Linked DNA regions of Drosophila melanogaster. The protein of the gene in region 3 interacts with the protein of the main gene of each other region in a pairwise test. Each region holds a gene or a part of one and is shown on either strand. Other genes may lie near its edges.

Region 1 (6,407 bases), about 15 Mb from region 3:
CCATTTCCCCCCTCCTTGGCCACCTTGTATTGTCAACTGCTTTTTGCCTTTCCATTTGCCCGCGGGCTTTTCTGGACTGAGCTAGGCCTTATCCTTAACCCTTTTGTTGTCAGTGGGTGTGAATTGGACCCCATTTGTTTTGTGCACCAACGCAGCATGTTGAACCTTTAAGTATTGAAGTGCTGGGATTCTTGGAATCAAAATCAGAAGCTTCGAAAGTTCGGAGTTTCCAGCCCCTTTACACCAACCATTTATTCATTAAAATGTACCATAATTATTAATTTTAACATCTGATTGTTTCGTCGCTTGTTTTTAATTCTATTAAAATAATTTATAATTATAGCCTTTGTGTTTTAATAAACTTAAACAAATTAGCAGGCAAGAAAAGTGTTTAACTAATATAATATTTAACAAAACATATCACATTGAGTAAAACTAACTTGCGCAGAAGGTGTTAAGTGCACGCATGCACTTTTGCTGCCTGCAGGGCGGTGATTTCAACAAGTGCTGGATTGGGTCTCCAATCCGACCCCCCTCCCATCAGCCCCCCTTTTCGGCCACGCCCCTTTCATAAGTGTTAAGTGTTTGGAGCTTGCGTAAAGCGCTGTCTGGAAAATGTGCTTCGAGTGGGTCGCCGGCAATTAAGTGGCAGCCGCAGTTCCTTCGGCATTGTTGTTGCAGTTGCATGAGTTATGGGTGCACTGGTTCATAAGTTGGCACCGCCAGTGGCGTCGTTTGGCCCAGGATTCCCTCCCGTTGCACTAGAAGAACGACCTTGCCCACGCCCCTGTCTACGATCGTTTATTGTTCTTGGCACACACTGCATTTGCCCCACATAGAACGATCTCGAGGCGGATCTGGATCTGGTTTTTGCTTCGGTTTTACGCACAGGTGTGTATCTGCCACGCCCCTTTCATTGCCGGCCTGTGTTGTAATTATTAAGACTTTGGCTCCGCGAATGCTCGAGCATTTACTGCGAAAATTTCTACAGCAAAATAGCCTCACGCATTTGAATGAATTTAAACGGCGGAATGGGCGAAACTTGTTGCCTGCATGGAAATAAATGCATACAAGAACCCAAAAAGGCAAGATACAAAATGCAATTTAAGTTTTTCTCACGCACACCTTGTCGCGGCTTCGGCATTAGGTAAATAGACCAAAAACAAATTTATCAGAAATTATTCAAAATAAAAACAAAAATGGTCGAAACGTTGATCGATTGGGGAAATACCCTTTGACTGGAGACAATTATGAATATTCAATATAAACAGCATAATACTTATAATAGATAATATATATTTAGATTGAAATTTCCATAAATATATTAAAAATATTAAGACAAAATAAGTTCTAATAGTGTAAATAGGTAAATATAAATATTTCATTATTGTGAACCGAATAACTCACAGAATAACTACTATCCTTGTAGAAGAATCAAAAATTTAATGAATAATTTATGTAATATTTCATTTGATGACTTTCCTAATTACGTATTAAAATCCTTATTATTCATTAGATAAAAACAATCTCTCATTTAGTTTACCACCGAAAGGGTATGGCCAAATCGCAGCCCAGGCCCACATCCGCGTTGTCTGGGGCGGGGCCAGGTGGTGCTCCGGTGGGTCCCAGGTCTCCATCGCCATCTCGATACTCGACAGGCCAGCTTTGCATGTGGCTCTCTTGGACTCGGTTTTGGGCTACGAATATGCCTATGTCTCTCGTTTGAACAAAAGTAAAAGTCTCTGGGCCGCCAGTTTGGATCCGTTCTCGTGCTGCATTTTGGCCAGGTCTGTGGGCTATAAAAGCATTTGTGCCTTAGACAGCGGCATTATTCAGCTTTGTGTTCTTGCCACGAGTTCAACTTGCAACCAAAACCAAAATGTTCAAATACGTAAGTGGAATTGATATACTCTGAAAAGTCCTTTGTTAGTATCTCATTTTTTTTTCCCCCATCAACTAGTTCGTTTTCGCCGTTTTCTGCCTGGCCAGCGCTGCTGCTGCTCCTGGCTATTTGGGCGGATTAGCTGCTCCGGCCTTGCCGCTGACTGCAGCTGCTCCGGCCATCTCCTATGGACACGCCTTGGCTGCTCCCTCGATTGCCTCTTACGGGCTGGCCCCCAGGCTTAGCTATGCCGCCCCGGCCTTGGCGCACGCTCCTCTGGCTGCTCCGGCCCTTTCCGCCTACGGATTGGGATATGGTCCCGGTCCCATTGGCCTGGCTCATGGTCCTTTGGGACTAGCTCACGCCCCTCTGGCCGCTCCCTTGGGATTGGGCTACAAGTCGGCATATCCTACTCTGGGTGCTCCTCTGGGACTGGGCTACAAGACAGCTCTTGCTGCTCCTGCCTATGGACTCGCTCATGGATGGTAAACGAGGTCCATACCACCCATCATCGTTTTCCGCATGCATTTCGTTTTGTTTGGATCGGTCAGAAATGAGATGTAAATACACAGAGAAAAAAGAGAGAGAGAGAAATCAGTGAAGGTTTTGTAAAGTGAAATCAAATTGTTAAAAAACAGATTGTGAAGAGTGGGTTTGATGTTGAAATATATTTCGATTGAATTTAAAAACTAAACTTAAAACTGTTTTATTTGATCAAGCGTTTGAGGCAATATGAAAAACGTGCTGACAATTTTCAAATATTCAGTTTCATTTTGTTTTTCAGATATTTATTTTCAGATTTCAGTATTTGGATGTTCCTTATAGCCAAAGTTTTGAAATCGTAAACGAATGTTATATATTTTGTTCAGAACATCAAAAGTGTGCTTTACTTACATTAAGTATCAAAATATATGTTTAGTATAGGCAATTAAGACAATTATAAATATGTCTCAAAGAACCGTGAGAAAAAAAGATCCAGTTTTAATAAACGGTTGACCATGATTCTAGTTTTTTGTACATTTTTTGCTTTGTCTTTATTGATTTATTGACTTGCTGAGTGACTGACTGAATAAGATTTGGGTACTGCGAAGTATATGACTTGATTGAAAACTCTCACACGCTCGTCCCGGCTCCATTTGGCTTAACTTTACTTGACTTGGGAGTACCTCTACCAACCGTGGCCATAGCCATATCCCAGTCCGTATCCCAGACCCAGACCCAGACCCAGACCGTGTCCTCCGTACAGTCCATGGCCGTAGCCTCCGAGATATCCGTGACCGAGGCCATAGCCATAGCCGCCCAAGTAGCTTTTGCCGATGATCGTCTTGGAGATGATGGGTGCATGGTAGCCCAATCCCAGACCAAGACCTCCATAGTGCCCGCCATAGCCGTGCCCGTAGAGTCCTCCGTAGTGCCCGATTCCTAGACCCAATCCCAGGCCATATCCACCGTAGCCATGACCAATTCCGATTCCAATGCTGGGTGATGGAGATGGAGCAGGAGCTGGAGACGGAGATGGTTCTGGAGCGGGTTCAGGAGCAGGAGCTGCCAGGATGGAGGTCGTCAAGCAGGCGATTGTAATGAGTAGCAGCTTTCAATGAAGAAAAGACAAATGTTATTTATATGATTTAAGTAAAAAAAATTGCTTATATTTTCTAAAGTATTTTTTATTAATAATTGTATTATCCTTTTATATCCTGGTACCACTTACTCCTTTCATCTTGCTGTAGGTAATTTTCCGGCTGCTTCTGTGGCGGCTTAACCAATTGTGTTGCTGCAGTTGATCCCAGCAGGCCTCTTTTATACCAAACCCCAGTTCAGTGGATTGCATCCCCACATGGACATCGGTGATCTAATGAGCAGTGCCACAAAGTAAATCTAATTCGCCTGACAAGTTGCCCAAGTTAGCGGCATGCCACAAAACCATCCGTAGCTGCTGTAAATAAAAAGAAAATCCAACACCTGTTTTTTTTTGCCTTTTGGGCCAGCATTGTATAATCTGCAATCGAGTTTGGCATTTACCAGTCCACAATGGTTCCAGTTCCAGTTTTTAATTTGGCCTGTGGGCATTTTAAATCTGGTGGGTGGCCTTTTCCTTCGTTTCCTTCATGTGATTCCGGTTGGATCTGATCAAGAACTAAGATCTGAACTTCGGGTCAATGGTCTGTTTATTTTTATTCAGTATAGAAAAGAAGAGAACTATATAAGTAAAAGTATAGACTCCTCCAAAAAAACGCTATATATTCGTAGGTTTAATTTAAATATATTTCAAAATCTATTTTTCACGAATCTATAACACAAGTATATATTAAGCAAAATTTGTATGTGTCAGACTGGCCACAAAAGCAACTTCGTTGTAGGGAGTGTGCTAGTATTAAAACTAAAACAACGTTTATAACCGCTTTAGCATAAAGAGCTCGAACAGCCGCTGAATAAAGTCAAACTAATCAATTCTTAACACCTCCAAAGCCACATAAAATAGCTCGAAAAACACAAGATTGGGCAATGATTAAAATTGAAAAGAGACATCAAATGGGTAAACAAAGGCAAATCCGCAGACGTGTGACCAACTAACTCATACTTCCCAAGAAAAAAAAAACAAACAAACAAAAAGCCGAGAAATGTAAGACAACAAAAGCAACCAACCAACCCAATGTGCCATAATTAAGTGCACAAAAGAGTCACTGACTCTTTGATAATCTTCGGCGTTGACGCTTTAAACTTGAACTTGAAAACGGGTTTCTTTTCGAAGAGAAGGGGACCAGAGGCCAAGTGGAGTAGTGCTCCCACTACATGGATGTTGCAACAGGTTCCTGGTAGCAAGGGAAATGCAGTTGCTGATCTCAGGGGATTGTCAACCGGTTTACCCCTCCTAACTGTTTAAAAGCGCTATGAAAATCCAGCGATGAAGACGAGCCTATAAATTGATTGGCCTTCGGCTGCATTCAGCTTAGTCCAAGTGCAGTTCTGACCACAATATCACCAGAGAATGTTCAAGGTAAACAGGATAGATACTCAGTACTCCTTTATTAGTATCTGTATCTGATAGATCTTATTTTAGCTCGTCGTGCTATTCGGCCTTTTGAGTGGTGCCTTTGCCGCCACGGTTATCTACCATCACCCGGTGATCTATCATCATCCTCTGCCGGTTGCATCAACGCCCCAGGAGTTGGCTCAGCATCCTGGCTACACCATTGTGGCACCTCTCACGAAGATTGCCCACGTCACCTACGATTCGGTGCCCATTTCGCACACGCCCTACGAACATGTTCCTCTCTTCCAGAGGATTGGTCATGTCAAAAACATTAGGTTCTAGCGATGTATACCCTAGAAAAACATAGTTTAACTTATAAATAAAAACAAATAATAATAATAATCATTCTTTTAATCATTACGTTTAACATTGCTGCTATCACTGATGAATGATTCTATAAAACTTACCTAAAAATCCGTAAAAAATATAGAAACCGTTTATATGGTTTTAGAAGGTATTATATATTATCCGCTAATGATGTTCGACTTTTAAGAGCAGTATTAATTTGAAATATGATTTTGGATGGTATAATCCAAGGCAGCTATAATAGGAAATACTACTGAGAGGCTACCAAGTAAACTTCCTCAAAGAAACACGTTTGTAAATTTGATTAATGGATAATTGTTTATTCGCCAAGCATTGCTGCTCTCTAGGAGATGAAGATTTGGGCTAGTTTCTACAATCTAATAGGACGGATGGGAGTGTATGAGCTGGGTGATCCTACAGCTAAGTCCTTAGAAGAAGTATGGGGCGGGAGCGAACTTGGGGGCCACAGCCAGAGGCGCTGGGACTGGAGCAGCCAGGGGAGCGGCGAAGGGTCCGAATCCGAACTTGGCTGGTGCGGCGAAGGCAACAGGCGCCGGAGCAGGGGCGAAGCCCAGAGGAGCAGCCACCGGAGCGGGAGCGGCGAAGGCAACCTTGGCGGGAGCAGCAAAGGCCACCGGAGCAGGAGCAGCAGCCACTGGCAGAGGAGCAGGAGCGGCAAAGGCCACTGGAGCGGGAGCAGCAACTGGAACGGGCAGGGGAGCGGGAAGGGGAGCAGCGAAGGCCACTGGAGCTGGAGCAGGAGCCACTGGGTATGCCACGGCGTGGTTGATGCGGTGGGCATTGAAGCTGGAGGCATATGGAGCCACCACTCCGGCGGTAGCCACAGGAGCAGCCAGGGGAGCTGCGAAGGCAGGAGCAAGTGGAGCAGCCAGTGGAGCCGGAGCATGGAAAGGAAGGAGACCAGCCTGAGCAGAGGCCACGCAGAGGGCAACGAGCTGTAAATGAAGGTATATATCTATAATCCACTTCGATAGATCCGGACATCCTTTGCAACTCACCACAATCTTGGCGAACATTTTGGGGATTGGGTATGATTTGCTAGGTGTGATTAGCTTGAAGGCAGACTGAACTGTGATATCCAATTGTCCACTGGGTAACGCTTTTATAATTCTGTAGCCCACGGAATATCCATGGACGCGCATACGAAAACACCTTGGAAGACTT
Region 2 (7,291 bases), on a different chromosome or scaffold from region 3:
GAATGGGTTGATTCTGATTGGAATGGGTTGATTCTACAACTTTGCCCCTGGCATTGTCTCTCTAGCTGCGATTTATGTGTGCCTCGTTCGTCTGGGGATTTATGGATATGTCATGCATCTTCAAACTATTTTCATTGTTTTTTTTTCGCATTCAATCGAAGTGAATGAGAACTGGAACTCATCGCTGGCGACATCGAATCTAGTTATTCACGAGACGCGTCTAATCAATTGCAGATGATTCATTTCGAGAGCCGAACCCCATTCATCTCCCCAACCTTGATATGCATATGTAACTCAATTGGTGCTATTTTCATGGACTGCGCTGTAGAGTAGGCAATAGTAATTGAATCGCACTCTGAAGACAAACTGAAAGTATCCTGATAGAGAGTTGCATTATCTGCAGTGGAGCAATAATAGACAAGGTGTATATTATTTACCATTATTTAAGTATTTAGGTCAAGGTCGCTTGGAGCTTGGGGATACGATCCATTATGGGGGTGGTGGTCACCGCTTGAGCGAGGGACTTGACTTTGTCGTTTGGCCAGTCGCACAATGCACATGGATGGATAATCGTGTGAAGTATTCTTGGTCTTGGCTGATGGTAATATGCAATTATGCAAAGTGCAAGTTCAGCGGAAAAGGCCATGGTTTTGTTTTGCTTTGTTGTGGATTTGTTGTCGCCACACCATTGTCTCCAGGTCTGAGATTAGCTAAGGTAGCCACCCAGATGCAGCCCACTTCGACCCACTGCCACCCCAAAGTTCCCATCATCATCATCATCGTCGTCATCATAGTCAGCATCATCATAATTTTCAGCTTCATTTGCTCGATGTACCTTGCTTGCGGTTTTTTTTTTTTTAAAGCTGCATTTGGATCGCTTTAGTTTTCAGTTTTTCTGCTTTCAGTTAACCAAGCCGCTCTGTTCAATTATAATTAAATCTGTTTGTAAATATAATTGGTGGGCGTGCGACTGGCATGAATGATGCAAGATTGCTGCCACCGTCGAGCGTGATTTGCTTTTGCAAATTAGAACAACGAATCATGGCAACGCCCCGGGGAAAATGTTACCTGTCTAATCTGGGATTTGGTTCTTCCCTTCGAATGCACTGCGAAAAACAGGTGCGTATACTTCAATGGAAAAGATACAACATGAACTGAGTGATATACAAAGATAGAAAAACTCTTGAATACAATAATGGATTAGAATGGTCTTAAAATTCTGAGATGAAATATGCAACTTAAATGATATTTGAAAAAATCACTATACTAGTTTTGCTCCACATTTTTTTATGCTTTTAACTGGCTCTATCTCAACTGACAAAGTTCTAAATCTGATTTTTGCACCGTGCTTGCTTTTCCTTGATTACTCATACGCCCCGTGTGCGCGGGTTGGCCAAGAAATGGAGGCTACCACTTACCGCGAGATTCACGGGCTGCCCGTGTAATGGGCTTTTAGGCCTCGGCATTAAAGAACCATTGTCTCAGTGGGGTAAGAGCACAAGAAAAGAAAAAAAAAAACGAGAAACTCCCAGGCCATCGCCAAAGTGCACCCATGGCCAAGTCAACTCATAGCAGTCGGCAGTAGCTTCGGTTGCCTCCCTCCATCCATCCCTCCATCTATCCATCCATCCCTCCAACCATCTATCCATCCATACAGTCAGTCGAATCAGTTAACACTTTTCACATGCCCGCCGGGTCGAACAATGTGAACCCACTCATATGGGCGGTATGACAAGCGTATGTATATACTATGTGGCTATCCACAAGCATGGCATCGACAACTATTTTGACATATTTCGTAAATATCCGTGGATAAGTATCGCAATGCTATTGGCACACGTAACTTCAACTGCACAGATACAAGCTACAGTTTTGCAGTTTTGGAAAATGGCAAACGGATATAGATCGTTATGTTCTTAAATGCTACTTTATTATTCAAACACTTGCTAAAGTTATTATTAAAGTTATTTGAAACATCTGAGTACTTTTTAGTTTCTTGTACTAAACTCTATAGATTAAATGTACTTAAATGTGGAATACCCCTGAATTTATGCTAAAACTATCGCCCAGATTGGTAGAACCTAATTCAGTCCATTCAACCCAATCGAAGTTACGACTCCAATCCGTTAGGTTTTTTAGAAAATGTGTCAGCAATGTTGGTTGGAATGGGGATACTTAGCTTAGGCACTTGGCCAAAAAGCCTCTAAGAAATTAACAATTGCCACCTTTGTTGGCGAAATTCAAGCATTCAGATCCGCCTGGCTCTTCTTCTCTGCGATGTTTTGTTAACAATTTCAGTTGGCTTAAATAAGCGCTGGAAAGTGAAAACCCAATTCGATACTGTTGTTCATGAAATGAGTCACGTACTAGCCGCAATATTTATCTATCTAACTAAATCGTTTCAACTGGACTCGCATGATTGCTGTTACGTTTTTTTTTTAAACTTTGTTTTCAAAGCTGCAATCGTTGGGCATTTTCGCGTTTTATGTTGACCAATTAGCTGTTTCAGGGTCAAGTTAATGATTCAATTAGCATTTGTCATCATTGTTATTGCTTCTCCTGAGCGGCGGCGGTATAATTGATCCCCCAGATCGTGGGAATATTCATAATGATGTGTGATCACACATCAACACGCCCAACCAGCTTTTCATAAGTAGATCATTCGAAAGGTATTGTTTTCTTCAAGAAAAGAGTTAAGATTATAAATATGTATTTAATATACAATATTAGCAATCTAAGTTGATCCAGAGTTGTTCCATAAATGGGTTAAGTAGAGCTCATCTGATTCTGGAAACTATCTAATCCAGGATATAAATTCAATCTAATATGTTTGATGATTAAGCCAAGACCCATCAGCATACACGTTGTCCAGTGGCATGCGTCATACATACATAGGTGGCAAGCAAGGCGACACGAATCTCTGGGATGCAACAGTTGCGTCCAACTTCGCGGCTCGAGTTCGCTGGGATTGGAAGTGGGCTCGGCGGGTATAAAAGCGACTGCCGGCCCGGTGGGGAATCATTAGACAAGTGTCGAACGGCGCGTGCGCATCATAGTCTTGAAGGAGCAGTTAGCCACCAGAAAGCAGTGAACACCACAAACCGGCAGCCACAACATGAAGTGCTTTGTAAGGACTCGCCAAAGGATCTCTCGTGGATTATAATTTCCCAAAAACTAGAAAATGATTTAAAAAACACAGTTCGTTAAAGTGAATAATAAGTTTTGAAAGCATTGTATTCCAAATGCTTGATGTTCATTGTTAAATTATAAAGTGTATTTAAATTTTAGTTTAAAGTTGATACATATTTTTTACATTTTTTTTATTACATTTTTGAATATGTTTTATGTTGCTTTTGAGAATTTGTTAAACAAAATACTATTGTTAAAAAGTACTTTTCACTTTATTGAAATATGTTTTAAGTGGTAATCTTTTGAATATGATACATTTTGGTGACGCTTTATCCTCGCGCAGTTTATCCTGATAGCAACCAGTCTGGTGCTGAGTGCCTATGCCCAGGACGCGGCGGATTCTGACCTGGAGCAGGTGGCATCCGCATCGGCACCGGATGCGGTGGCCGTGGAGGATCAGGTGAGCGCCGCCAGCAGCTATGCCCCGCTGCAGGATAAGAAGCAGGAGAAGCGCTATGTTGGTGGATACGGTGGCTACGGAGCGGGCTACGGCGCGGGATACGGCGGCTATGGCGCCGGATATGGCGCAGGATACGGCGGCTATGCCTCTGGCCTGGGAGCCGGCTATGGAGGAGCGTACGGCAGTGGCGTCGGCGTTGGCGTGGACAGCTACTACAATCCGTACAGCTCGCGAGCTCTGGGTGGATTAGGTGAGGGTGAGCTTGAAAGAAGACTCTCAATCTCTTGCCGAAGACTCGTAGTATACCAACGCTGTTTCTCAATCCCCAGATGGTGCTGCAGTGGCCGGATACGGAGGCTATGGATCCACTCTGGGCGGCTATGGATCCGCTTTGGGTGGCTATGGATCCGCTCTTGGTGGCTATGGATCGGGACTTAGTGGTTATGGTGGCTCCTACAACTCGAATCCATACGCCCTGTCATACTACAACAGCAGGCTGGGCGCTGGAGCCGGCACTGGGTATCCGTACTACAACACCCGATTCGGCGCTGGTGGCTATCCATCCAGTTACTATACGAGCAACTATGGCAACAGCGTGGTGGGCGGCGGCTTGGGCGCTTTGGGCGGAGTGCCGCCCATCGGATCGGGCTATAACTACGGTTCCGGAATCTCGGGAACCGTCTACTAGACACCGCACGGTCCAACGTTCAAGATCTAAGCTAGTGGAATTTATTTTTTTTCATCGATATATTTTTTTCTAACTTTATTTTTATTAAAAGATGCTACAAAAAAATACATTATCATAATCGTCATTTAACTAGAAAGTATATATTTATATATGCATGTAATCTCATTGGGGCGATGGATATGCGCCATGCTTGTCCTTGATCACCCAGAAGGAGTCGACAATGGCGCCGTTCTGGTCATCGGACACCTGCTCGAAGTGAAGATGCGTGCCATTATGTGCCTTCAAGCGGGTGTATCCGTAATCCTAAAGAGATTATAGAATTATAGTATTCCGTTTTGATATTAAGCAGGTCATTCAATTACATTGCTATGGTAGGCATTCCAGATGGGCAAATCGTTGGAGAAGGGCTCGCGCTCCTCCTTGCAGCCGGCGGAACCCGTGATGATCTGGATGGGCGCCTTGGGATTAGTGTATGGCGCCTCGGCACTGCCATTGTACACCTTGTAGTCGTAGATTGGCCACAGGCGAGTGTAGAAGTGTTCATGCGCAAAGATCTCCACGTCGACGCCGTGCTTGTAGAACAGATCCTCCAGGCCGAACCACTTGAGCATGGGCAGACCCTGGCGAATGTACGTCTCCAGTTGGCTATTGCAATCGTACTCCTTGTCGTCGCTGCAGTACATCGGTCGATGACCGTAGGTGATGATCCACGGACGTTTGGCCCGATTCTCGGGCAGATTGGCCTCGGCCAGGTCACGTTCCAGCCACTCGAATTGCTTGGTCAGCAACTTGAAGCCATAGCTGAGGAAGTAGTAGACCTCCGTGGAGAAGGAGACAAAGTGCACGGGTCCCAAGTTGAAGCTGTACCACAAGCTGTCCGTTTCGCCGGGCATATTGAAGCGGGCGCGATAGTTGGAGAAGTTGCTGTGATGGGCCAAAGTAAGTTAGGTTTGAATAGTTAACACACCGGCATCATCAAATACTTACTACTTCTCCTCGTGATTGCCCGGACAAACCATGTAGGGCACATAGGCAGCCACCGACTCGATCTGGCGCATGAATGCATCACCCACGGCAGCGTTGGAGGTGTCCATGTCGTAGGCAAAGTCACCCACATGGATGATGGCATCGTACATGCCTCGCTCAGTGTCCTGCTGTAGTCGGCCCATCGACTGGGCATTCTCGTTGCCCATGTCACCGAAAATGGCCAACGAGGGCGACCACTTCTCACCCGCCGGTGGCGTCTTGAAATTGAACACCGCCGACCAACCGAGCGGACTGCCGCAGCTGTACTCGTACCGCGTGTCCGGCTCCAGATCCTTCAGTTCCACATTGTGTATGTACTGAGTGCGAGCCTTCTTTCCACCATCGACGAATCGCTGCCAGGTGCCGTTCACCATTATCGGCTCGTCTTTTAGATAGTTCCGCGAGAATTTAACCACCGAGGCGTTGGGGGAACTTCGAGTCGACCATGTCACCACAATATCACGAAGATTGTCTACAACAAAGTTCATTAGCTGGGATTATTCTCACTTTTAAAGACCCAATTTATATTTAAAACCATCTCGTTTTAAAAACAGTTTCCCCTCGAATTTCGTACTTAAGACTATAGAATCAGTAGGCCACAATCATTGCCACTCATACATAGTTGTTTTATTTGAGCGTATAACTGTAATTACATTTCATTAAAATATATATGTTTAGAAGGAGGATAGTTTCTTGGTCCGATTGCTGCGAATATAAATCATTCGAATTTGTGCCCGAATTTAAAATACTTTAGTATATGACGACATAAAATATCACAAAGTTTTTGAGTTGAGATCAGACTGGTACGGTCCATGCTTGTCCTTGACCACCCAGAAACTATCGATGACCTCGCCCTTCTTGTCATCGGACACCTGCTCGAAATGTAGATGGGTGCCGTTGTGGGCCTTCAGTCGAAGATACCCAAAGTCCTGGCTGTGGAAGGCACTCCACGGAGGCATGCGCTTGAAGAATGGCTCCCTGCCCTCGTGATTGCCGGCAGCTCCCGAAATGATGTGTATTGGTGCACCGGGATTCACATACGGCTCGGCCAGCGATCCATTGAACACGGTGTAGTTGTACATGGGCCACATCCGCTCGTAGCAGTGCTCGTGTGCCCACAATTCAATATCTACGCCGTACTGATAAAAGAGTGGCTCCAGCCCGAAGAAATCCAGCATGGGCAGACCCTTTCGAACGATTGTCTCATGATTGGCACAGTCATCTCCGTTGTCATTGCTGCAGTACATGGGCCGATGGCCGTATGTGATAATCCAGGGACGCTTCTTCCGGTTTTCTGGCTTGTTGGCCTCGATCAAATCCCGCTCCAGCCAGTCGTACTGCATCACGATCTGCTTGATCCCGAACTTAGTGAAATAATAGACTTCTGTGCTAAAACCGATGAAGTGCACCGGTCCAAGATCGAAGCTATAGAACATGTTATCCGATCCACCCGGCATGCTGAACCGATTGATGTAGTGCGAAAAGTTGCTATGGGTTGAAAGGGAAAAGTCCTTATATCAGTCATCATCATTATCATCATCGCAATTGGCTTGTGGTGTAGCACTTACTACTTCTCCTCGTGGTTGCCCACGCACACCATATATGGTAAGTAGGCGGCTATGGTCTCCACCTGGCGCATAAACTCGTCGCCGACCTCTCCGTTTTCCCAGTCCATGTCGTAGGCGAAGTCTCCCACATGGATGATGGCGTCGTACTGGCCGCTCTGCGTTTCACGCTGCAGCGCTGGAAGGGATGCCGCATTCACCACGCCCATATCGCCGTAGATCGCCAACGAGGGCGACCAGTCGGCGTGATCGAATCGCGTCCGAAACCAATAGGTGGCGGACCAGCCCAACTCACTGCCACAGTGGTAGAGATAGGTGCTATTCGGTTTCAGGTGGGACAGCGTCACCTGCATTCGGATGGGTTCATGGATTAGATGCCTTCGTTTGCGACTCTTGCTGCGTCGTTACTCACACGATGTATAT
Region 3 (7,071 bases):
GCAGCTCGTTGTCACGTTCCCTGACACCCAGTAAAACGTCACCTCGAGGTTCTCCCGCCTTCGTCAGGGTAAGTCAAGTGCAAGTCCGCTAATGACTTAACAAATAAAGGGTGGGGATATATTATCATTGCTTTTATTTTCAATATTTTTAGCACAACAAAGAAAACGTAGCCTGATTGCATTCGATGACAGTAGTAGTCTCCCCTTCCCAGTAACCCGTTTATGTTAGTGGATTTCGGATCGCTGTGTTTGTTTGGCTCTTCTGGATATTCATTTTATCTGTATATCAATCTTTGGAATTTCGTACATTTATTATTTAAATAAACTCAGTATGCTATGTAAAGTTAAGGAAATCTTTAGTTCAAGTGCAGGTTTAAGATATATCAGAAGGTATTCTTAAACTTCGATACTATTTTTTAGGGAAGAAGTGAATTTGGTTTTTTAATGATGTCATGCCTTCCAAGGAAGCGCTTTATAATTAATATAATCTTAACTATTTTACTTATCATATTCTCGTTTGTGAATTTAAATTTGTTGAAGTTTTTTTTCATAAAACATTTAAACATATTAAATATCCATCTTTCAAAGTGTGTTCCTTATAATTAGAGCATCCAACATATTTAGGAAAAAACAGATGTCATAACTATCTATCTATCTATTACTAATCCTCATCCTGCTCGTCGTCATCATCCTTAAGAATGCCCAGACGGCGGGCTACCTCCTTCACATTGGCAATGAACTCCTCCTGGACCAGGTTAAAACTCATGGCCAACAAGGCAATGCCGAAAAGAAGGTACAGCGAGCAATAGGCGATGGACTGCTCCGACTCGTCCTTGACTCCTTTCGCGGGGACAAAGTCACCAAATCCTGTAATGCAAAAGCAGATGAAAAGAGTGCGCAAGGAATTGGGATAAACACAAACCGATTGTTGTCAGTGTAATGAAGCAAAAGTAGGCGGAATCCAAGAAGGACCAGTTCTCCCAGTACGCAAAAAGAACAGCTCCGCCAAGGATGTAGCTCACTACCAGAAAGACGCATAACCAAATGGGGACAGGTCGATCCTTGGGCAGCAGATCTCCATAGTCCCCATACTCATCCCCGTACATAGAGTCATCGTCGTCGTAATCGTAGCTGGGTCGCCGACGGATTTGCCGCTGGACCGGAAATCCCATTGGTGACATGATTCTCGGGGAAGGGGGCAAACGTTCAGCCCGCTCTCTTCGGCGATTTCTTTTTGGTTCTCGACTCCTTGAGTGGTGGCGCTCAGGCGGATAATCCTCGTAGTTATTGTCTCCGTAAAGGGATCCCTCATCGAAGCTCTCTTCCACGTAGTCCTCGTAGCGACCCTGGGAGTGACCACGCCTATCCCGTCGATGGTCCCGTCCCGGCGGTGGAGCATCATAGTCGGGAAGTTCGAGATGGTTGCCATAGCGAGATGATTGCCTGCCCAGACTTCCAGCTCGTCTATCATGCTGTTGGCGATAGGAGCTCTGCGGTGGCGGCTGTGGAGATCGTTCCCGTTCTCTGTCCTTCTGGCGTTGCCTTTGGTGAGCAGATCTGGGCATGGATTGACTCCTTGGAGCTGCTTGTCTTCTGTTGCCCCCGAAGTCATCTAAAGCATACCTATTTGGTATAATTGGTGTTTTCCTCACCACGTCCTCGTCGACGTCTTCGTAATGTGAAGAAACGTGCCTGGGATCCACGGACTTGGCCCTACTTCTCCCAGGTGCCGAGTGAAGACGATGCAGTTCTCTGGACGCTTTGGAAGATTCCTGATTGTGTGGCGATCGAACCGATCGCACACTGGCAGCTCTTTTCGCAGGAGGTTGCATGTCACCGAAGTCCTCAATGGATCCAGCATCCAAGTGGGATCGAGAGTAGCGCTCCCTTTCTACCGTGTGTCTGTCCCTCATCCGATCCCGTTGTCTTTGCCGGCTACTGTAGCGGTTGGATCTGTTCAGGGTCTGAGTTTCGTACCCATCTCCGTAAATGGTGTGACGCTGGCGAGGATCGTGATGCAAATGCTGCTGCTGCTGCTGACGACGATTGCGTCCGCCTCCACTGCTCCGATGTCCGAACTCGCGGTCATCGTAGCCCCGGCCCATGGTGCGCAGGTCGGGATCTGAATAGGCATGACCCATGGAAGGACCCAGACCCGAGTCATTCCCAGACCGTTGGGTCATCTTCATGGAGCGCCGGAACGAGGGCGGCGGCTGGGATCGGGCATGGCGCTGAGAGCGCATCGATCTCTGCCGGGATCGGGCATTCCTCGGACGTTTGGCCGTGCGGGTGCACACATAGCAGCATATTCTCCAGTACAGAAACCTATATTGGAATATATGTATGAAAACATACTCATTTAGTTCTCAGCTCATCGATGTCAACTCACCGAAATGATGTGGCCATGACATCGCCAATGTTGGACAAGCAGATGAGCATCAGCGGAATGCCCACAATGGCGTAGAAAATCGTTGTCACCTTGCCCCAATCCGTACGCGGCGATATGTGACCATAGCCTGTCCAGAGAATGACAAGGAACACATAATTACTCTTTCGCAGATAGGTAAGATTGATTTTGAGTCACCTTTCACCTTCAACCTCGTGACCGCAAAGTTCTTGAAATACTAATGAATCTAAGACCCGCTAAGGCCCAATCCCCAATCCATATGTACTTCTTTTTGTTCATGCCAAGCCCATTATCGCTTCGAAATAGCAAACATGGCATTTCAAGTCTGCCGCTTTTGGCCTTTACGGAAGTGTGCAAATTCGTAGATAGCATTCTGTGCCCCTCTTCGCGGGGTTCTATCTGATGGGCGTCGGTCACTAAACCCATTTGTGTGCTAGCCGTAAATCCATATCGGGGAAAAGTGCAGACGAAAAGCGTAAAACTAAGCTCCCATCATCAACAGCCAGAGCTAATAAACTGATTTATACCAAATACTTCCACTCGAAAGCCGAAAAGTTGAATGCTCTAAGTGGGTTAAAGTGAAAAAGGTTTCTGTATACTTTTAAAGTAGGAGAGTTTATAGAGTTCTTGGGGTTTGCTTAAGGCCTTCGATTGAAAACCTTCCATGCACCACTTCCCCTTTTATGAGTAATCACTAATCACCAACACCCCCTGTGTGTTAGGGTATACTAATAATGAGAAATTCCCATCGTTAAAATCTAAAAATCTGAAATGCCAGAAAAGATAATCACGATCGGTCAGTGGCGTTTGACCTTGCTGTTGTTTTGACCACAAACAATTGGATGGCAGCAATCCACTTTTGGTTTCATTTGACACGCTCCACACACCCTCGCTCCCTTTGAAAGCCATCACCACCCGAATGAACCCATTTTTAGAGGTCAACCACGTGCTGGCTGCTCACCTGACTGTGTCCGAGCTGAATCTTTGACTTGTGACTCCCGCCCTGCAAAGGAAGCAAGCATATGTTTTCCAACTCATGGAAATTCCCAGGAATAAGCTTTTAGGTCGATCGGTGGTGGTCAATTACCGTGATTTATGCGATTTCAACGTGATCGCTGTGTGGACAAAACCAATTGTCCGACTCATCCGCTTGCCTCATTGGTTCCTGGGCGGATTGCGGTCTGGTCGCGCTTCAGGTGAATCAACGTGGGCCAAGACTTGGGCCACAGATCTCTGAAGATTTCTGTCTGGCACGATCGTTGATTCATTGGTCGGGCAGCCGCCGAATGCGAATACCTGCGGCTGCCCTCGTCGCTTGACTGAGTTTGTGCGTCGTCATCGCCGCTGATGTCTCTGGCGGTTGTATTTGTTTTTTGGTTCTCGGGTGCGGTTATATAAGTAGTGTGTGCCGGTCGCATTTTCGAACTATTCTGTTGCGGGAGCTTGCCGCGATCAAGCGCAAAAATCGGGTCAGTGTGTAATCGAACAAAGCGTGCCAATCATGCCAAGCTATTGCCTCATCATCGTCCTATGCCTTCTTGGATCAGTGGCGGCTAAGTCTTCGGATGGAGATCGAGATCAGTGGGTCTGGAGGTCCTACAATCGCAGGGAGCGCTCTTTTCGGGACATCAATCGCAGTTCCCCCATAAGGAACTCGTACGACGAAAAGCTGAGGCGGGAGCCCACGACTCGAAGACCTTTTCCGGGCGAACCGGAGAATGATGAGATAGAGGACTATGCCGATGTGGAGCCCACCAGGTCATCGGACACTCCCAACGTAGGCACCCGTCAGTTTAATCCATACGGTGGTCAGACCAATGCCGGACAGTTCGGAGGACTTGGAGGCTATAACGGAAACCCCGGAGTGCTAGTCGGACCTGGCGGACCCACCGGAATCATAGGGAGACCGCAGCTATACCCCACTCCCTATCAGCCAGGCTATGGTGGATTCTCTGGAGCTCAAAATGGCATTAGTGGATATCCAGGCGGATACGGAGGAGTAGGACAGGGACTTCCCGGAGCTGGATTCCCCGGAGCCAGCGTGGGTGGTGGGTTTAACAACTTCCCCAGTAATGGACTTGGCCTCAACCAATTTCCTGGCAATGGGCAATACCCTTACGGCTCCTATCCAGGTGGCGACTTCGGTGGAAGCCAATTCGCGGGCGCAGGTGCCCAGTTCCCAGGATTGGGACAGTACCCAGCAAACCAACAGTTCGGTGGACCTCAGTACACCGAGGGCTATGGTCTGGCAGGAGGACTGGGCTTAGGTCAACTTGGAGTAGGCAACGGTGGACTCGGATACGGTGGAAGTTTTCCACCTCTAGGAGGAGGCTTCGGCTATGACGAGAAATCGCCAGCTGTGGCCGATGGTAAGAGTGCTAAGAGTGTGGCAGCGTCACCCAGAAAAGTGAATGATAAGCTCAGTAAGAAGGTCTAGAGCTTCGTGTTTTAGAAGTGGAAGGTGTTATGTTAAAGATATGGAACTGAAGCTATTACTTTCCCACTCAACCCTCCTTTTTCCCTTAGGCTGAGTTGGAAGTAGTCACCTTAGTGTAGGCATAGTTTACGTATAGACTAAGCAAATAAATTCCCATGTTTACTCACACATGACTTTGAAGAACTCAATCCATAAGCTTAAAAAAAACATACTCACCTATGGTCGTTATCACAATAATCGAGTAGAACAGGGATCCGGCAAAGGTCCACTGGGACTTGCGCAGATCCTCGTCGCCATCCCAGCCGTCGGCCTTGATGGCCGTAAGGATTTGCTTTTCAAAATTGGCCAGGTGCTTGCTGACATTGGCCATCCAATCGCTTTCCCTTAGGACCACTGCGTCGTCGGACAGTAGCCAGATATTCTCCGTGAGATTAACGCGAAGATTCTGTATGTCTCGCTTCACCTGCATGGGGATTTTGGATTTTTAGCATTTGAGACCTTCCAGCAAAATCACCCACTCACCTCTAGTTCGTGGGGTCGTTCGAGATGCTGGAAGAGGTAGGCACCGCCCACGCAATAGGAAACCACGAGAAGCACGAGCAGCACATGGGACACAATGCAGGTGAGCACCTTCCACGAGAAGCAGATGGCAGCTACACAGCGTCCGCGTTGCGGCTTCGCTGGCTCCAACATGTGCGCCGGCAGAGATTGGGCCCGCCTACCCGACATGGTCACCCTCCTCTGGCCTCCTCCTTCCTTTGGCTAATTTGCCGCTCGGTTGGCTGTGAATTATGAAAGGCAAAATAAACTAAATAAAGGATGGGACGAAAATGTTTGGAGGTCGGCCTGGCAAATACCCTTAGAAATTGTAAATTGTTGTTGAGATGAAGAGTTGTTTGAGAGTGCCTCTCCGAAGTAATATATTGTAGTAACCTTAATGGGAATGCTACATAATGTTTAAAATTATGCCTGCGAATAAACACGCCTTCTATGGCGTTCGTTTCAGAAATCGTTGGTAATCTCCAAAGGAGCAATTACCGAGAAGCCAAAAGGTAAACCAGACAAAGCTCCACGGCACATATGTTTATTTGTCCAAATATTTATTTATTTGGGTTGCTGGGGCAAGGCCGAAGAGCCAAGGGGATCAGGTGCGGAAGACTCGACTCCATGAGACTATTTTGGGTGCCGCCGCCCGGCGGGGCATTCATCTCATCGTCAAATCTCGTGCCACGCCTGTCGAGAACTCTGCTGGTTCCTCTTGCTTATAGATGCGGACTACATAACATGTCCGAGCAATTATGAACTTCGATTTCATGTGGGCAATTAGCGCTGGTGAATTATGGGCCCATCGGGATTGGGCATTGGACTGCTGTTAATGATGATTACCGATCGCTGATCGCCTTCTGATTCGCACTGAGGAAAACTTTTCAGTTTTCCACATTAAGTTCCATGCTGTATATTTTGCCCGCACTCTCCCGTCTTCCGTCTAACAATCCGTTTCCGATTCTATATCCGATGGGATCCGTACAGAGAAAAGAAGCACCGATCCGTACGAGCCACAAATTCTTACTGCGGATCGCAGCTACAGATGGACTCTCCACGGATCGCTCGGGAAATTGGGTTTATTTTTGGTCTAACGCGAAGTTCTCTTGTCTTCCGTAGATATATAGTTTTGGAAAAACTTTTATTTTCGGCTTTTCTCTGGTCGTCGTTTGTTTTGTATTGTTTGGCTCTCTCAGTCGTCGCACTTTGTGTTTTGATTATGGTGTCTATCTGATTGAAGGAATCAATTAATCTGCTGCTACAGGTGGTCTAACTGATAAGCAATGCATGGACTTAATCTACAATTTTTAAATGAAAATCATAAACTCGTTAACGTGTAATTGAATATAAAATTAACTATCTTTATTACATGCTGTGCTAAGTTTTCGGCTTGTTTTTTATGCTCTTAGCGCTATGCTTATCACAAATCGACTGGTGTACAACCATTACCTTTGTTACCTTAGATAAGAGCTGCAGCTAAGACTATTTTAAGCAATTTAGCAGGGTTAGGAGGGCTTGACACTTCAGTCCACATTCAATTGCCGGAAGGAGCCCTGCAGACCAAAAAGACTCTCGAAGTCAACAGGCTGACCCACTCGGAGGCTTTCATCGGTTCCGTAGTTCTTCTCCTCCTCCCAGTAATTCCGGTAGGCTAGAATACGCTGCTCCCACTGCTGCAGCAGCT

The links. The genes of interacting proteins can lie anywhere in the genome.
Region 1: the proteins of CG9192 (region 3) and CG13050 interact in a two-hybrid assay, tested with the Drosophila melanogaster proteins (one large-scale study listed by BioGRID).
Region 2: the proteins of CG9192 (region 3) and CG2157 interact in a two-hybrid assay, tested with the Drosophila melanogaster proteins (one large-scale study listed by BioGRID).

The regions. Positions count from the first base shown.
Region 1 is NT_037436.4:16,275,608-16,282,014, forward strand, and holds CG13050 (uncharacterized protein), read right to left. Parts: upstream 3,665-6,407; 5' UTR 3,603-3,664; coding exon 3,594-3,602; intron 3,474-3,593; coding exon 3,051-3,473; 3' UTR 2,851-3,050; downstream 1-2,850. Other genes in the region: CG13065 (uncharacterized protein), read left to right, coding at 1,880-1,891, 1,961-2,371; CG13064 (uncharacterized protein), read left to right, coding at 4,872-4,880, 4,944-5,198; CG13049 (uncharacterized protein), read right to left, coding at 5,651-6,178, 6,242-6,259.
Region 2 is NC_004354.4:10,866,265-10,873,555, forward strand, and holds CG2157 (uncharacterized protein), read left to right. Parts: upstream 1-3,019; 5' UTR 3,020-3,115; coding exon 3,116-3,127; intron 3,128-3,472; coding exon 3,473-3,845; intron 3,846-3,918; coding exon 3,919-4,277; 3' UTR 4,278-4,439; downstream 4,440-7,291.
Region 3 is NT_037436.4:1,235,073-1,242,143, reverse strand, and holds CG9192 (uncharacterized protein), read left to right. Parts: upstream 1-3,824; 5' UTR 3,825-3,908; coding exon 3,909-4,844; 3' UTR 4,845-5,011; downstream 5,012-7,071. Other genes in the region: Klp61F (Kinesin-like protein at 61F), read left to right, coding at 1-68, 153-176; galene, read right to left, coding at 662-867, 923-2,325, 2,390-2,516, 5,061-5,307, 5,367-5,573; CG33966 (uncharacterized protein), read right to left, coding at 6,911-7,071.